Linked DNA regions of Arabidopsis thaliana. The protein of the gene in region 2 interacts with the protein of the main gene of each other region in a pairwise test. Each region holds a gene or a part of one and is shown on either strand. Other genes may lie near its edges.

What was found.
Region 1: the proteins of STM (region 2) and BLH6 interact in binary tests that used the Arabidopsis thaliana proteins (3 or more experiments, as listed by UniProt).

Annotation. Positions count from the first base shown.
Region 1 is NC_003075.7:16,528,526-16,534,972, forward strand, and holds BLH6 (BEL1-like homeodomain 6), read right to left. Parts: upstream 4,838-6,447; 5' UTR 4,261-4,837; exon of another isoform or gene 4,049-4,260; 5' UTR 3,974-4,048; coding exon 3,323-3,973; intron 3,132-3,322; coding exon 2,764-3,131; intron 2,688-2,763; coding exon 2,627-2,687; intron 2,540-2,626; coding exon 2,021-2,539; 3' UTR 1,821-2,020; downstream 1-1,820. Other genes in the region: AT4G34600 (uncharacterized protein), read left to right, coding at 755-839, 1,115-1,161, 1,314-1,433.
Region 2 is NC_003070.9:23,056,667-23,065,169, forward strand, and holds STM (KNOX/ELK homeobox transcription factor), read right to left. Parts: upstream 5,398-8,503; 5' UTR 5,057-5,397; coding exon 4,628-5,056; intron 4,168-4,627; coding exon 3,912-4,167; intron 3,222-3,911; coding exon 2,968-3,221; intron 2,340-2,967; coding exon 2,130-2,339; 3' UTR 1,916-2,129; downstream 1-1,915. Other genes in the region: AT1G62350 (Pentatricopeptide repeat (PPR) superfamily protein), read left to right, coding at 1-154, 847-1,269. UniProt on the Arabidopsis thaliana protein: Required for shoot apical meristem (SAM) formation during embryogenesis. Negatively regulates ASYMMETRIC LEAVES1 (AS1) and ASYMMETRIC LEAVES2 (AS2 or LBD6). Probably binds to the DNA sequence 5'-TGAC-3'. Binds to RNA.

The DNA of each region.
Region 1 (6,447 bases), on a different chromosome or scaffold from region 2:
CAATTCATTTAAGTTTAACACTTTTTAGCAAAAAATTATGAGAAAAATTTATGACTCTATCTTTCAGTAAGTATGTTATGATCGATTAATTTGAGTTAAACGAAGTAGTGTATCATATATAGTATATCACTATCAGATTTATAGAGGCCTAATCGTACATTATTCAGTTGGTTATAGCTAGCGATATCTCTTGATTGGAGAATAGGAATGGAACTTTGACCGATATTGAATACCTAGTCTTCAAGGATTCTACAATATAATTATGATGATTTGGTAAATTTAATTGGGTTATGATAATGAAGGCACTCATATTAAATAATCAGGTCACTAACCTCTTTAGACTTATTGTGGCCAACAATAGGAAAGTAGTCTCCTTTCAACTTTTTCTCCAATCCCACCATTTCCATGAACAATTTTTTTAATTAAAAGCATTAAGAGATATTTGCATTAATTAAATGATGGATAAATCAATTGTTGTTATGGTATTTTACTATTTTTATTTATTTGTAATTGATACAATCTAATTTTGAAACTCAAGCTAATCTCTATTTAAACCGGTTTTTATTGTTGCTTTTTATTTAAAGCATTCACGTTGGCTAAACAAATTAGTTAACTTTTAATCGTGTTATTTCTTTAGAGATTATATATAGTGATATACCAAACGCATTGGCTTCTCTTTTTTTTGATAAGGTACGTGTATCTAAATACACAAGATACAGCTTAAGGCACATCAAAAATTGAAAGGAGAAAGAAGATGGGTTTGTTGCCATTGGTGAAGAAACTAGGTTTCATCATCTTTCTTCTAGTTTCAGCTTCAGCGTTTGCTCTCTGTTCTGCAGGTTTGTTTCTTACTTTTTTTTCTCTCTCTCTATCTACATATTTATATTCCTTTGTTTGCAGCTTTTCTCTGCAACTTCATGTGCCTCCTACTGAGATCAGTCTTTTAGAAAGTAAGATAATAACATTAAGAGCTTGTGCTCTCCACATGTGTGTTAATGACGACTAAAGGAGAAAATTAACGACATAGTATGTTACGTTAGTGTTATTTGGATTGATTAATCTTGGATATAAAGAATAGACAAGCTTAAGTCTCTTTTTTTTTTCTTTTTTGTAGGCCGATCATCCATTTTAATCTATAGCCAAGAAGATGATCATCCCGAGGTATTCGTTTTAACTCCAAAAAAAGTTGCCAACTACCGTGCGTTGTATATCTTTACTTAGTAAAAAACCGAACAAATTGATAATCAAGATCGTAGTTATATGATTTCAAGAACAATTTTGTACGTTGGTGAATACATTCTATTTGTGGACAGGTAGTAGAAAGAAGAATACATGAGCATGAGAGAATTCTGAGAATGAATTCAAGAGACTATGGCCACTCCAGTCCTAAACCAAAGCTCGTGAGACCTCCTTTCAAGCTTATTCCCAACTGATCATGCATATCACCGATCGACTATATATAGATGCCAGACTTTCTGAGATGTATAATATATGTAAACCTAAATACTAACACTGCAATAAGTTTGAATGATAATCATATATATAAGTTTCAAGATATGTTTTCTAGTAAATTAATGATTAGATAGTGCTCTTTGCTATCATGCAGAATGTAAATTTGGTGAATAGTCATCATTAGATGAATATTACAATTTATCTGATAGAATCCTTATGATCAAAATTAATATTGAAATATTCGATTAATTCTGAAAACGGATACAGATTGTATATGTGCCAGACAAAAAAAAAGAGAAGAGAATTGGGAACGTTGCAGTTTCGTAGATGTGATAAGATAATAAGTCTACAGTGTAATGTCCATCTCTTGCAGATCTCAAATTGCATTTACCATATTCTGTTTGGTCCCAATGACCTAACCTCACTTATATTCTTGTACAAAAGAATGTTTACTTTATACAAATATTTCTAAAACTTTTTCTTCTGACCAACATTCTTCCACTACAGAATTGAGACTGATCATAAGTTCATCACACCTATGCTTTATTCCTCTCCATTGCTTACTTCTTCAAGCTACAAAATCATGTACCAATTGTGAAGAATTTATCCGGTTCTGGCGACTTCCGGGGTTTACATACTCCATTTCATCTCCCGGGATGGCATTCTCGTAAATATCCACCCCGGAAAAGTTGTTGTATGCCTCACTAGACATAGCCACAACATTGTCCTGTCCTTGAGAGTTTTGAAGCCCTAGAGTCAAGGACACATCACCACGACCCAATCTTGACGTATCAGCCACATGATATGTAGGCTCAACTGCCATGAACCGGCGACCATCCATATGACTGCCTTGGACCATGCCACGAGTTTCCTCGCCATATCCATGTCCATGGTCCGGTTTGGTCTGGTCTTGTGAAAACTCTCGAGCTCGATCTTCATCATCAGCAGCAACAGGTCCTATCTCAGACATTTTCGGTGTATTTTCGGAAGACGAGTTGGAATCATTCTCTGTGAATTCCTCCTTGTATATCTCCTCCACCATTGGCTTCCATAAACGCACTCGTGCATTTATGAACCAGTTTGAAACCTTTTACAAACATAAAACACACAACAATCAATAAATAAACTATACTATGAAGAGAAAGAAACAATCTTCAAATAAAACATTCCTTACCTGACCGCGGCTCAAGCCCGTTTGTCTTGCTAGCATGATCTTATCAGAATCCTTTGGGTAACTATTCATGTTTTCAAACAGTAATCATCACTATTTATGAAGAAAATGTGTGGAGATAAGATTCAAGGGAGACTTACGGGTGAAGAAAATGCTCAAAGAGCCAAGCACGGAGAATCAAAACAGAGTTTTCAGGTAGACCGCGTTGAGGTCTCCAAGCTTGAGGTTGCATAAAACCTCTTTGTTGTCTTAAATGTTGATCAACGTACTTAAGCCGGCTTATAATCCCAACTCTTTTCCCATCTGATCCATCTTGTTGTTCCCCAAGGCATTTACGTAGCACGAGGATTTGTCCGGATATCGCATCCCTTAGGCTACGAAAATGGCGAGAAATTGTTTGAAGGGCGAGTGCTGTGTATGGCTTAGCTGCTCCATAACCAGCTATCACATCGAACGAGGATACAACTATCTGCATCTGCTGGTAATATTGCTTATATCTTCTATCCACCTTTACCAAAATCAAGAAATATCTCATTTTCTTAAATATTCAACATATCCTATATATACCAAATGTAACAACATTATGGCTGCAATTTATTTAAATGTATGCTTTTTTGCATTTAAAATATTATAACAAAAGGCCTATAAAAGGTAACCATCACATGATCAAATTAAGAAGATTAGGTCTCAAGTTATTACCTCATCCAACATTGACAAGAGTTTTGTCAACTTGCTCTGCATTTCTTGTCTCTCCGACTGAGAGATGTCCGCAGGAGGATTCGTGCTCGAGTCTTGAGTGCTCTGATTCGGTTCTTGAGGGTTCTCATTGTTTTTATCTCCCTCTGCCTGAAACTGCTTTAGAGCTTTCTTTACATTAACAGCCTCATCTAGAAGCTGTTGAGCCGCCTTAAGATACTTTGAGTTGGGAATTGTTCTCACAACATCCAAGTTCTGATTCCCGCCCGGAAAACTCTGTGTTGCATACTCATTGCCTCTCGGCGCCATATTTTGATGGCTTATCTGATGAATTCCTGGAAGAATCTGTGAACCAAGGCTAAGGGACAGTCCCTGACCGGTCTGAAGAATCCCCGTGGCACCTGCCATCGCGCTCATTAGCTGGAAACCGTTCCTGTCACTCGCTTGATCTCTCCAAGAACCGAAATCTTGACCAATGTTCTGCATTTGTGGAACTCCCCCAAATCTGGACAATGCTTGCCTCTCTTGTGAGGCTGAGACATTGTTAGCTTCAGTTCTTCTTTCTCTACCGGCTGATTCCTCAGAGTAAGAAACTATAGCATTCTGGATCATTGAATCTCCGGGAATAAACTGTGTTTCTGGATAATTCTCCATCGAAATGGAGTGTTCTTTTTGGCTCACTTGAGTTCCATAGTCCCTTGTTTTCTGATCAGGTCGTAAGAACTTAACCTTATGGAGGAAATGCTTGACATTAAAGACAGATTCAAAAACAATTGAAACAGAGCAGGATCCATATAATCAGTGTATTGCTAAGAAACATGTAAGATTTCAACATGTCTTGAATATATGGTTATGCATGCAATTATGGAGATGCAAGCCAAATCCATAGACAACAAAAAAAAAAGAAGAATTGTATAGAAATAAAAAGATTAGTAAATTACCTGGAAACCAAACTGCTACTTCTGATGGATTGTTGAAGGAGACAACAAAATCTTGAAAAGAATTAAAAATTAGAAAATGTGAAAGATTTTATTGATATCTTAAAAGAAAGAAATCAGAAGGTTACGCCTCTTTCTCTTGGTTGTGTTTTTTTTTTGGTATGAGATATAATTTGAATTCATCATCTCATCAATGTCACACGTGAAAGACCCATATCATACTCTCCCTCCTCCGGAAGAAAGAAAGAATGGAAAAAAAAAACTTTGAATTTCTTATTTAATAGTATATAATATGGTAATAAGAAAATCAAATAAAAACTTTATTTTGTTTTCTGAAGATATTGCTTCAGAAAGCCATAATCTGGTTGGTGCTTGAACCTCCTGCTTCTTGCTTATTGATTCCTGGAGTCAAGTCTTTGGTAAAGAGAAGAAAATTATTGTGAAAATGTTATATAAATGTATGGTTAAGGAGTTTCTATCTTTAACAACCAGTTGGTCGACCTAAACCCCTCTCTCTTCATCTTTCTCCCAATCCTAAACCTAATCTTAATCCCAATCCTTATCACTCTCTGTCTCTTAATTACACATTGATTAAATCAATATCCTCCATATAATCACATTTCTATTTTCTTTACTTAAGTTGAAAAGTACAAAGAATCAAAGATGCTACTAGCTTCTTGACATAAAGTCATCTTAAATTTAAATTTAAATTCGGAAGTGTTGAGTTATATAGTTTATTTTGCAAGTAAACAATAAAAATTTAGCAGATTAGTAGATCGTGGTGAATTTTGATTAAGTATATATATCACAACTTGTTTTTCTGATGAATAGGTCATTAACTTATCATTATAAACACATAACTAATGTTTATTATGTGAGTTTTGATTAAGAGTATTAGCTACTTTACTTTTTAAGTAAGCCAAGCCATGATTGTTTCTTCTTCCTTTTCTTTATATATTTCTTTCATACTTTTTTGGTATCTGATTATACATTCGTGGACTCTGGTCGTCCAGAGGCTATGCAACTATTAAAGAAATAAGGGTCCCAAAAAATAACAAACACAACTTTTTCTTCTTTTTTATTTTCATTTTGTAAACACCATAAGTGCTCGTTTTCCCCACTGAGTTTTGTCTTTTCCTGGAAACAACTTGTAGATATTTATGGATTAGTACTTTTTCTTTCAAATGCTTCTAAACTTAGCATTCACTTTCTTGTTTGACAGAAGTCTATATCCTAAGTCCTAAGTCCTAACTTGGTAACTACTATAATCTTTAAGACTAGGGTCCAATACTGATTAGAGGCTGAGAGAATCGTTAGTTCCATGGGCGAGACTTGAGAGCAACAACACAAAGATAATGAGAATGACTTAGATAGTGATAGGAAGTTGATCAGGGTGGATTTTTGAAGAAATATAAAGTATTAGGTGTAGAATGAAAATAGAGGTATAGCTGTCTGAATAGGGACAGATGTTGCAGCGAGAGGGTCAGAGCCAGAGATGCCGTAATAATACGAACAATGAACATCTCTGAAGGAAGAGAGAGAGAGAGAGAGAAAGAGAGAATCTAATGGGATACGAAGCGAGAGATTTTGTTGGCCCAATAGAGCTGTAATGTCCCAAAGACACATCCTTTTTTCCATAACTATAACATTTTTATTAGAAGACCAATTTAGTTTGAAATAGATTATTGTCTAGTTACTAGTCTCTTGCATGTGTTTTTAACACATATAGACGATACAAATACATTTTGGCAGATATTGAAACCAAAAAGACGGAACAAAATTTTGAAGAGAAGCAATATAAGAGTTTCAGACCTATATGAGAATAAGAACTAATTTCAAGATCAACGAGATTATATAACTACTACCATGTAGAAGTAAAGATATACATAAAAGGTAAGAACGAGGTTCTAATGTCCAAGATCATATTCAGGCAGATAACTTTTTTTTTTTTTTTTTTTGAGCAAATATGGGCCTAATTCCTTTTTTTAGCATACAATCCAGATATTGAGAATGAATCTTATTTTTGAAAATATGGGCCTCTTACCAAAGCCTATTTAGTCTAAAGTGAGAATTGTTAAATGTAAAAAGGCATGCTCATATTAAAGAATAAAAATTCACCAAACTCTGTTGCAGAAAAGTCTTAACCAACATAACATTAAACTGCTTTCACATAGAAAGCAAAAGTCTTAA
Region 2 (8,503 bases):
TTTAATCGCAGCCAAAGAGCTCAAGCGTCTCCAAACCCAATCAGTCCGACTTGATCGATTCATTGGTTCTCATGTCTCTCGTCTCCTTAAATCCGATCTCGTTTCCGTTCTTGCTGAATTTCAGAGACAAAACCAAGTGTTCCTCTGTATGAAGGTATAATCGTTGAATTTGGTTAAGTTTCGAACTGAGTTTTTGATAGTTCTGGGCGTTTAGGTTAATTGGTCTCCTCCGGTTCGTAAATTTGGGTGTTTCGATTTGGAAATTGGTGCTGAAATGGAACCGAAAACCAAATGTGGTTTGGTTCGTTATTGATAATTTGACATTTCTCATCATTTTGGTTAAGATTTGGTACATTTCGGTGATTCTGGTTAAAGTAAGGATAAAATTTGGGTTTACCAGTCCTGAACCGGTTTTCATGCTTCCTCTTGCCGCTTGGCTTCACCTAATAAACCGAATCCGAACCGAATTAGCCTAACTGGTTTGGTTCAGCTATTTCGGTTTGATTTTATAAGCCTAGTTCTAAGTTTGGTTATGGAGTTTGTTGATGGTGTTACTGTTAATGTTTATGCTTCGGTTAAATTTTGGTATATTTCTGTGAATTCGGTTATATTTAGGATAAAATTTTGGTAATTTCGGTTTGGCAATGCCGAACCAAACCAGTTACTGAATTTCATACTTCCTCTTGCCGCTTGATACCTAATAAACTGAATCAGAATCGAATTAGCCTAACTGGTTTGGTTAAACTATTTCGGTTTGGTTTATATGGAGCTTGTTGATGTTTATGTATTGTCACTTGTCGTTGATGTTTAATTTGGTTTAGTGTTTGTCTTCTTATTATGTTTCAGCTCTATGAAGTAGTGAGGAGAGAAATATGGTACAGACCGGACATGTTTTTTTACAGAGACATGCTAATGATGCTTGCAAGAAACAAGAAAGTTGATGAAACCAAGAAAGTATGGGAAGATTTAAAGAAAGAAGAGGTTTTGTTTGATCAACATACATTTGGAGACCTTGTTCGAGGGTTCTTGGATAATGAACTTCCTTTAGAAGCAATGAGATTGTATGGAGAGATGAGAGAGTCTCCTGACCGGCCTTTATCTCTGCCTTTTCGAGTTATTTTGAAAGGACTCGTTCCTTATCCTGAGTTGAGAGAGAAAGTTAAAGATGATTTCTTGGAGCTTTTCCCTGGAATGATTGTATACGATCCTCCTGAGGATATATGTGAAGATAGTGATGAAGAAGCAAGAACAGATAGCGATCTTGAATAGAGAGGTATGTCTTGAATCAATGCTTGGTTTGGACTGTTTAGTTAGTGCTCAAAATGTCAGTGATGATATTATCCTCGAGGCTGACCCGATGTATCTTCGATCCATAGTTTCTCTTGTTCTGCACATCCACTAACTTCAGGAACCATGTCCCAGTTTCAGGTTAGATCAAGTGGGAAAACAAATGGAAGATTGTGGCTATGCAGAAACTGGAACTATTCGTCTTTGGTAGGAACAAATTATGGCTATTGAAAACTGAAGATGATGAGGAGCATATGAAGAAGAATTTGAGAAGCTTATAAGCGTATATATGTGTAAAGATCACTCTCAGCAATGCTAAATGCTGCTGTATTGAATCGGTTCAAGATAAGTCATATGTTTGTGAAGATACATACAGCAGAAAGCGTTTTAAGGGACAAAACTATTAGAAGTGGATTAAGTTTTGGTCGATCTTGTCTTTTTGGGATAGTGATGGGTCTGTTTGGGCCAGACTAGGTCTTTTGGAGTAATAGCATTCTCTCTTTTCTTTTCGTCTTTTCCATCCCAAAAGTACAAAATTTCGACGCAAATACTTAAAAATTAGCAAGGAAGATATACATACAACCAAAAAATGGTCCAAATTGTCAAAAAGGTTGTCAAATAAAAAGAATAGATCAAAAAAGCTTTACTATCATTATAATAGGAATAGGAATTTCGCATAACAATAGAACAACACAAAAGGATACACACCACAACATCAAACGCTTGTTCATCAATCGGAACATGTTTCATATGTTCCAAGTATACCGAGAACCATAGATTATACATATTATAAGCTGTTTAACGATTATAAATATAATGAAATAAACGTTTTAAAGGATCGATCAAAGCATGGTGGAGGAGATGTGATCCATTGGGAAAGGATTGCCCAAGACATTATCCATGAAGTAATGGTGAGGATGTGTTGCGTCCATTACTACAAACTGCATGTCCTCCGACGGCTTCCAATGCCGTTTCCTCTGGTTTATGAACCAATTGTTTATCTGTTTCTGGTCCAGCCCCGTTGATTCCGCAAGGGCGAGCTTTTGTTGCTCCTGCAATTTCATATCACATGCGAGAAAAAATCAATCATCAAGTGTTCTCTCCGATATAAGGTCAGTCCATGATCACAGCTACATCACGATTTGCTAGATTGTAAGGAGAACTTAGAATCCATCTACTCATACGAACATGGGTAATGACACTATACAAGTGTAATAAAGACATGAGCTACTATTGCATTAGGGTATGGCCTCATGCACCCTACTTTCCAAAGTTATGACTTGAAATATGTGCAACAAAGTTTAGTCTAAGTTATGGTACACAGCCATAAGATGAAATTGATCGTAGTCTTGACTAAGATTGACATATTATTCGGACCCTAAAAAAGGTATGGAAGCAAGAATCAAGTTTGTCATCGGCTAATAGACCAAAACAGTACACATAGACTAAATAAGTTCACTTCATTCAGCTTTTAGGATTTCAAATTATGCAAATGCATATTGTGCAATGCCAACATGAGCTAACATAAACTAATGTCCCTAACGATATAGTATGAATGCAAAAATCACTAAAAACATTGAAACAAGCTAATAGACAACTAAATTGAATTTGCTATCATATAAATGCTTTTTTAAAAACATGAAATGATTATTTAATTAGAGTATAAGGGAAGAGAGTTACCGAAGGGTAAGGCCATTTGTAGTGACGGCTCCACCAATCAAGCAGTTGTTGACGAGCTTCTTTAGGGAGCTTTCCTTTCTTCCTCTTCTTCATGAACTCTTGCTTGAGGCTCCCTAAGTAACCACTGTACTTGCGCAAGAGCTGTCCTTTAAGCTCTCTATCCTCAGCTTGTGGATCTACAAATTCATTGTTCATATCGACTTCTTCCTCGGATGACCCATTATTGTTCCTATCAATTGCTGTCTCTCCATAACCTTATATTGATTAAACATGTGAAAGCAAGACAAATTTGTCAACAAGAACATGTGTCTAGGGAAATGAAAAAGAATAGGCTAGTGATCCAAATAATTCAAAGTAACATGTTAAGTAGATGTGAGTTTGTGTGTCTATATAAACTTAACTACATTCTTGAAAAGAAGAGTGATATGACATTGTGTAGATATATGTATATGTGATTATACGTACAAAAACATGTGTATGTCTAAATTGAGCAATAGATCTAAGGACGAGCAGACTCTAGATCCAGATATTCTTTTTGATGCATTTGAATTAAATAGATCCAAAACAAACGGAGAAGAAAGAGACAAGAACAGTGATTGTTGTTGTACCAAAGCAAATGAATTCAATTCCAAACAAAACAAAAAAACAGTAAACAAACTGTTTTAATTCAATGAAAACAACTACATACACTAACTTATGTATAGATAGATTATACACGTAAACCTAGTAAGCTATATATAACAATCTGACACTAACCCTAGTAACAACCATCAAAGGGGTATTTACCCAAGAAAAATCAGAAAAAGGAAAATCTTTCTTAAAACCCACAAAGAAAAAAAACAACTTTCCTCATCTTACGTTTAATTTGACGCCATAATTAACAAGAATATGAATTAAAAAGAAAGAAAAAAAAACAGAGAACTAGAGAGAGAGGAGAGAGTAACCGGAGAAAGAGGAAGGTGAGGATAGAGAGAGGGATTTGAATTGACACTCGACACGTTGAAGGAAGACCATAGCTTCCTTGAAAGGTTTGGAGAGCTCTTGCTCATACTTAACGAGCATTTCACAGTAAGCTTCCATGAATTGATCAAGCCCTGGATCTTCACCTAGACATCCTGTTGGTCCCATAGATGCGGCAGCGGCTGCGGCAGACGAGCATGCCTCCTCTAGCCTCGCCACAACCTCCGGTGGTGCTCCAACCTTAAGAAATTGTGTAATTAGTAAATGATAGACATAAAAACGTTAATTGAACTAAGATAAGGATCCTCACGTTTATTGTGGATATATAATATAGTAAAGAAAAAAATGAAATAATTATATATGTCCTAATCTTCAAGCCTACATACAATATTTTGGATAATCTCTTGCAAGTAGGGTTTTTACAAATTGTTTCTTGAAACTTTCTCAATATAGGAAAAATTGTATCCTTTGATTTGTATATACTTAGCTGGGTTAAGTAACTAGTAAACAAAAGTAGATATCAAAATCAAACTCAGACATCAAGTAAAGGGTTATGTAAAAAGGAAATAAAAGGTAAAGTTTGGTAATTAGGGTTTCTAGAATCTTTCTCTTCTTTTTTGTGCAAGAAAATCAAATAAGAATCATTAGAGTTACGAAGAAACTTTCAAAGTAATTTTTTCAAGTTTCTTTCTCTCATCACCTTCTGACAATTGACATAAGCGGCCAAGAGGCGGTGGTAGTGAGGATGAGCCATGATCTTGGCCTTGACAGAGGCTGAAGAAGAGGAAGAGGAGCAAGGGTTGATTCCTCCTGCAACGATTTCGTTATGATGGATCTCCATTAGAGAATAGGCAGGAGCACAAGAGGAAGGAGAAGAAGAAGAAGCAACTTTGTTCTTAGTTCCTTGGGGAGGAGCTAGTGATTGAAGAAAAAGGGAACTACTTTGTTGGTGGTGTGACTGATATGCATAACCATCATGTTCTTGTTGTTGATGTTGATGATCATGACCATGATGTTGATGTGATGTCATGATGGGCGGCATCATCATCATCATAGGACACATCGGACCATCACTATTATCCCCGGCAAAAGCCATTGGACAAGAAGTGCTGTTGGAACCACTCTCCATCTTCTCTTTCTCTCACTAGTATTATTATTCACTTTGGCTTTGCTATATAGCTATGAGAAATAAAAAATGAAAATAACATAAAGAAAAAAAAAGAGGAGCCCCCATTGTAAATACAGCTAGCATTTATCATCAATATCATGAAACACATTAAAGTACTATAAATTTATTGGGAAACCCTAAAAGAGTAAGTAACTGTGTGTGTGTATCTATGGTTTAATTTAATTATTTGAAAATGCAAAAGTGGTCTCCCGGGATTTATGCTTCAACAATCAGCTTCCTTTTCCACATTGAAAATTCTAAATAGTGATAGTTATGGGGGAGAGGGAAGCAGCAGAAGAGAGACCAGGAAGATAAATCTAAGGAAATTATTATAAATAGGAAATAACTTTTTAGGAGAAACTTATTTTAAAAAAGTGTAAAAAGCAGACATGGACAGAGGTTGTGTGATCTGTGGGTTCTTAACTCTTTTGTGTTCTTCTGCTGAAATATGATTTCTCATTTATGCCTTTTCGGAAATTAATGTTGTAATTTCTCTTCTTCTTTTTTGAGGTAATAAACCGGATCTCAATTTATTTTTGACAATTTCTTGAAATGGAGAAAACCGGAATGTGCCTCGGAAAGTCCAGTGAAAGATATATTGGAATTTGTTATTTCTTTACCATGGGTCGGGAGTATCAAATCGAATGTTGTCATTTGGTTTTGGTTTTCATACCATGAATTCCCAAAAGTCTAAGTTTCCTGATGGGATATACGTATGCTGATGTTGGTTTAAAAAGTACATTTGTGTATATGTATATATGTATATTATATGGTATGTGAAGATATTATTAGGACTGTTGTACTCAAAAACTTTCTTAGATTCTCTCAATAATTAACCGATAGATCTCCATATAGTATAATTTACGCATTTGTTTCAGTAACATATATTGGATTCGCTTTTGTCAATAGGAAAAGATAGCAGTCTTAGTAATTTTATAATAAGTGATCTAACATTTGATTGCAATCAAAGTTTTAATACTATTGTAAATGTTCTTATGGGAAAAAAATGTTGTTAAGAAGAAGAAAAATGTCATAAATATAATCATAGAGTAAAACATGTAACTGTTTATTTGTTATATAAACGAAAATATTAAACACACATTTTACCTTAAAAAAAAAGTATCTTGTATTCTGTATTGTTTTTAAAAAGTGACAACTGATGGCTTGTTATATTAGACAACAATGAACCATTTGTATTTGCCACCATTATCATGTTCTCGACCTTTTTGGTCGATTGATTGTAATATTAGATGGTAGACCTCTTGCCACTTGAAAAAATAACCAATCACATTCAGACCACTAACCAAATCTATCGAGGCATTTTAATTAGAATAATATACGAGGCTATTAACAATTGTTAGCACTTCTTCGAACGTAGAATTGACTCAACATAGGACACATGTTACTATCAAGAGAATAAGCATGGGACACCTGTACCTGTTTATCCCTGAAAATAGTATACAGACTTGAGAAAAATTCATTTACGATTGACAAAGTAATTCATCAATTGTCAATTTGGAGGATTGTACGAAGGAAAATGATATTATGCATGTTACTTTAATACACAACGAAAGAAATGTATAATTTTACTTTAAATTTAATTGTCTAGTTCAATACTGTGGGAAAAAAAGAAAAACAATACAATTAAAATTATCAAAATTGATAAGTACATTACATCAGTGCCGTTTATTCGATCAACATTTCACTAGCCGTATGTATTGCTAATTTTGTTATCACTATTCGAAATATTATTTAGAAGTTGGATATACTATATATTCCCATACTCGTATGTCTATGTTTATAAGTAAACTATATAAAAATAAATATGTTAAAAAAAAGTAAAGACCAGTATAAAGCTAATTTTTCTTGCTTTTAGGTTAAGGACAGTGATTCGTTGAAATCAAAAGTCTTAGAAAAATATTGAAGAGAGAAATCTTCAAGGCAAAGTTTTACTTTCCCCATGAAAGAAGAAAAAAAACTCTCTCCTCAGCCACTGCCTTCACTGCCATTTCTGGCAAAGAAAAGATAACTGAGAAACTAATAGATAGAGAGAGATTACAAGGAACCCATCAAATCATATTTATATATTACCAAACTGGATTTTATTTCATTTGCTTCAAATTATGATTTATATATACCCTAAAATATATTTTTTTAAAAAATCTTCATTTAGTTATCCAAAATATGTTGGATCTGGACTAAAAAGAAGAAAAGAAGTGATTTTTCTCTTCTTTTTTTTTTTATTTTTTTTTTCTTTGTCTCCTACGCTCATAGAATTTTAAAATCGAAGTAATAAGTTCTCTTTTTTATGATGACAAAAAAAAAAGTTCTCTTTTTATCAATAATAAGATTTTAACCACAACAAATTAGGATAAACAAAATTAGGATAACGTAAAAAAAAAAAAGGATAACATAGCAAAATATTAGATATAAATATTTTTGCATATGTTTTCCTTATGAACTTTAAATAAATTTTAAATACAATAATTAACTTATAGGTAAATATTAATCAATGTTTTGTCAATTATCTCTAGTTGTTATTTTTAATTGCGCTGCGTTTTCGTTTAAGAAGTTATTATACTGTTTTCGACAATATGATTAATGATTTATGCGATTTTGGGAAGTGATGCACTTGCAAAACTTATATATATATCACACTATTTAAATATATATCACTTTTCATATTATTGAAAACGAACGTATATCTCTATAATAGTAGGACAAATAATCTGAAAGTAGTAGGGATTGGAAAGAGTATGAAAAGACATCATTACTAAAAAGCCATTTTGGATGTATATTCATTACATAACCGAAAGCAATTCTACTAAACAAACTTATTTCTTCAGTTTTGCAGTTTCTACTGAATATATTAGTTGGATCAACTTTTACCAAAGCAATACAATTTTATTCTTTTGCCATGGAACCAAAATTGTAGGATTTACTTAATTGTATTACCTAAACCTTTTTCATTTTTCAATGAAATATTTACATTTTTAGCAAAGCAAAATACAATTTTACTTTTCTTATTTGGTTAATTGATGAGTTTTTGGCCAACCTCACGCATATCTTATGATAAGTTAATAACATATAAAACTATTTAATTCATATTCTAAACTATAAAGAATATGATTTTATATCTAAAAATGTAAACAGCTTGATGAGAAAAAAAAAAAGATTTTTTCGGGGGTCTCTCATTTAAGAACCAAATAGTCTATTTCTATTTGAATTTATATATTATTTTGAAAAATCTCACTTTAAATGTTCATAGTTTATACATAATTATATATATATATATATATCCTAAATTTTGTCTACTATTGTGATTGTAATAATAGTTTGATCGTTGTGATAAATGATGATTACAAGTCAAACCTAATGTAATAAACCTGAACTTTTAAAAAATAAACC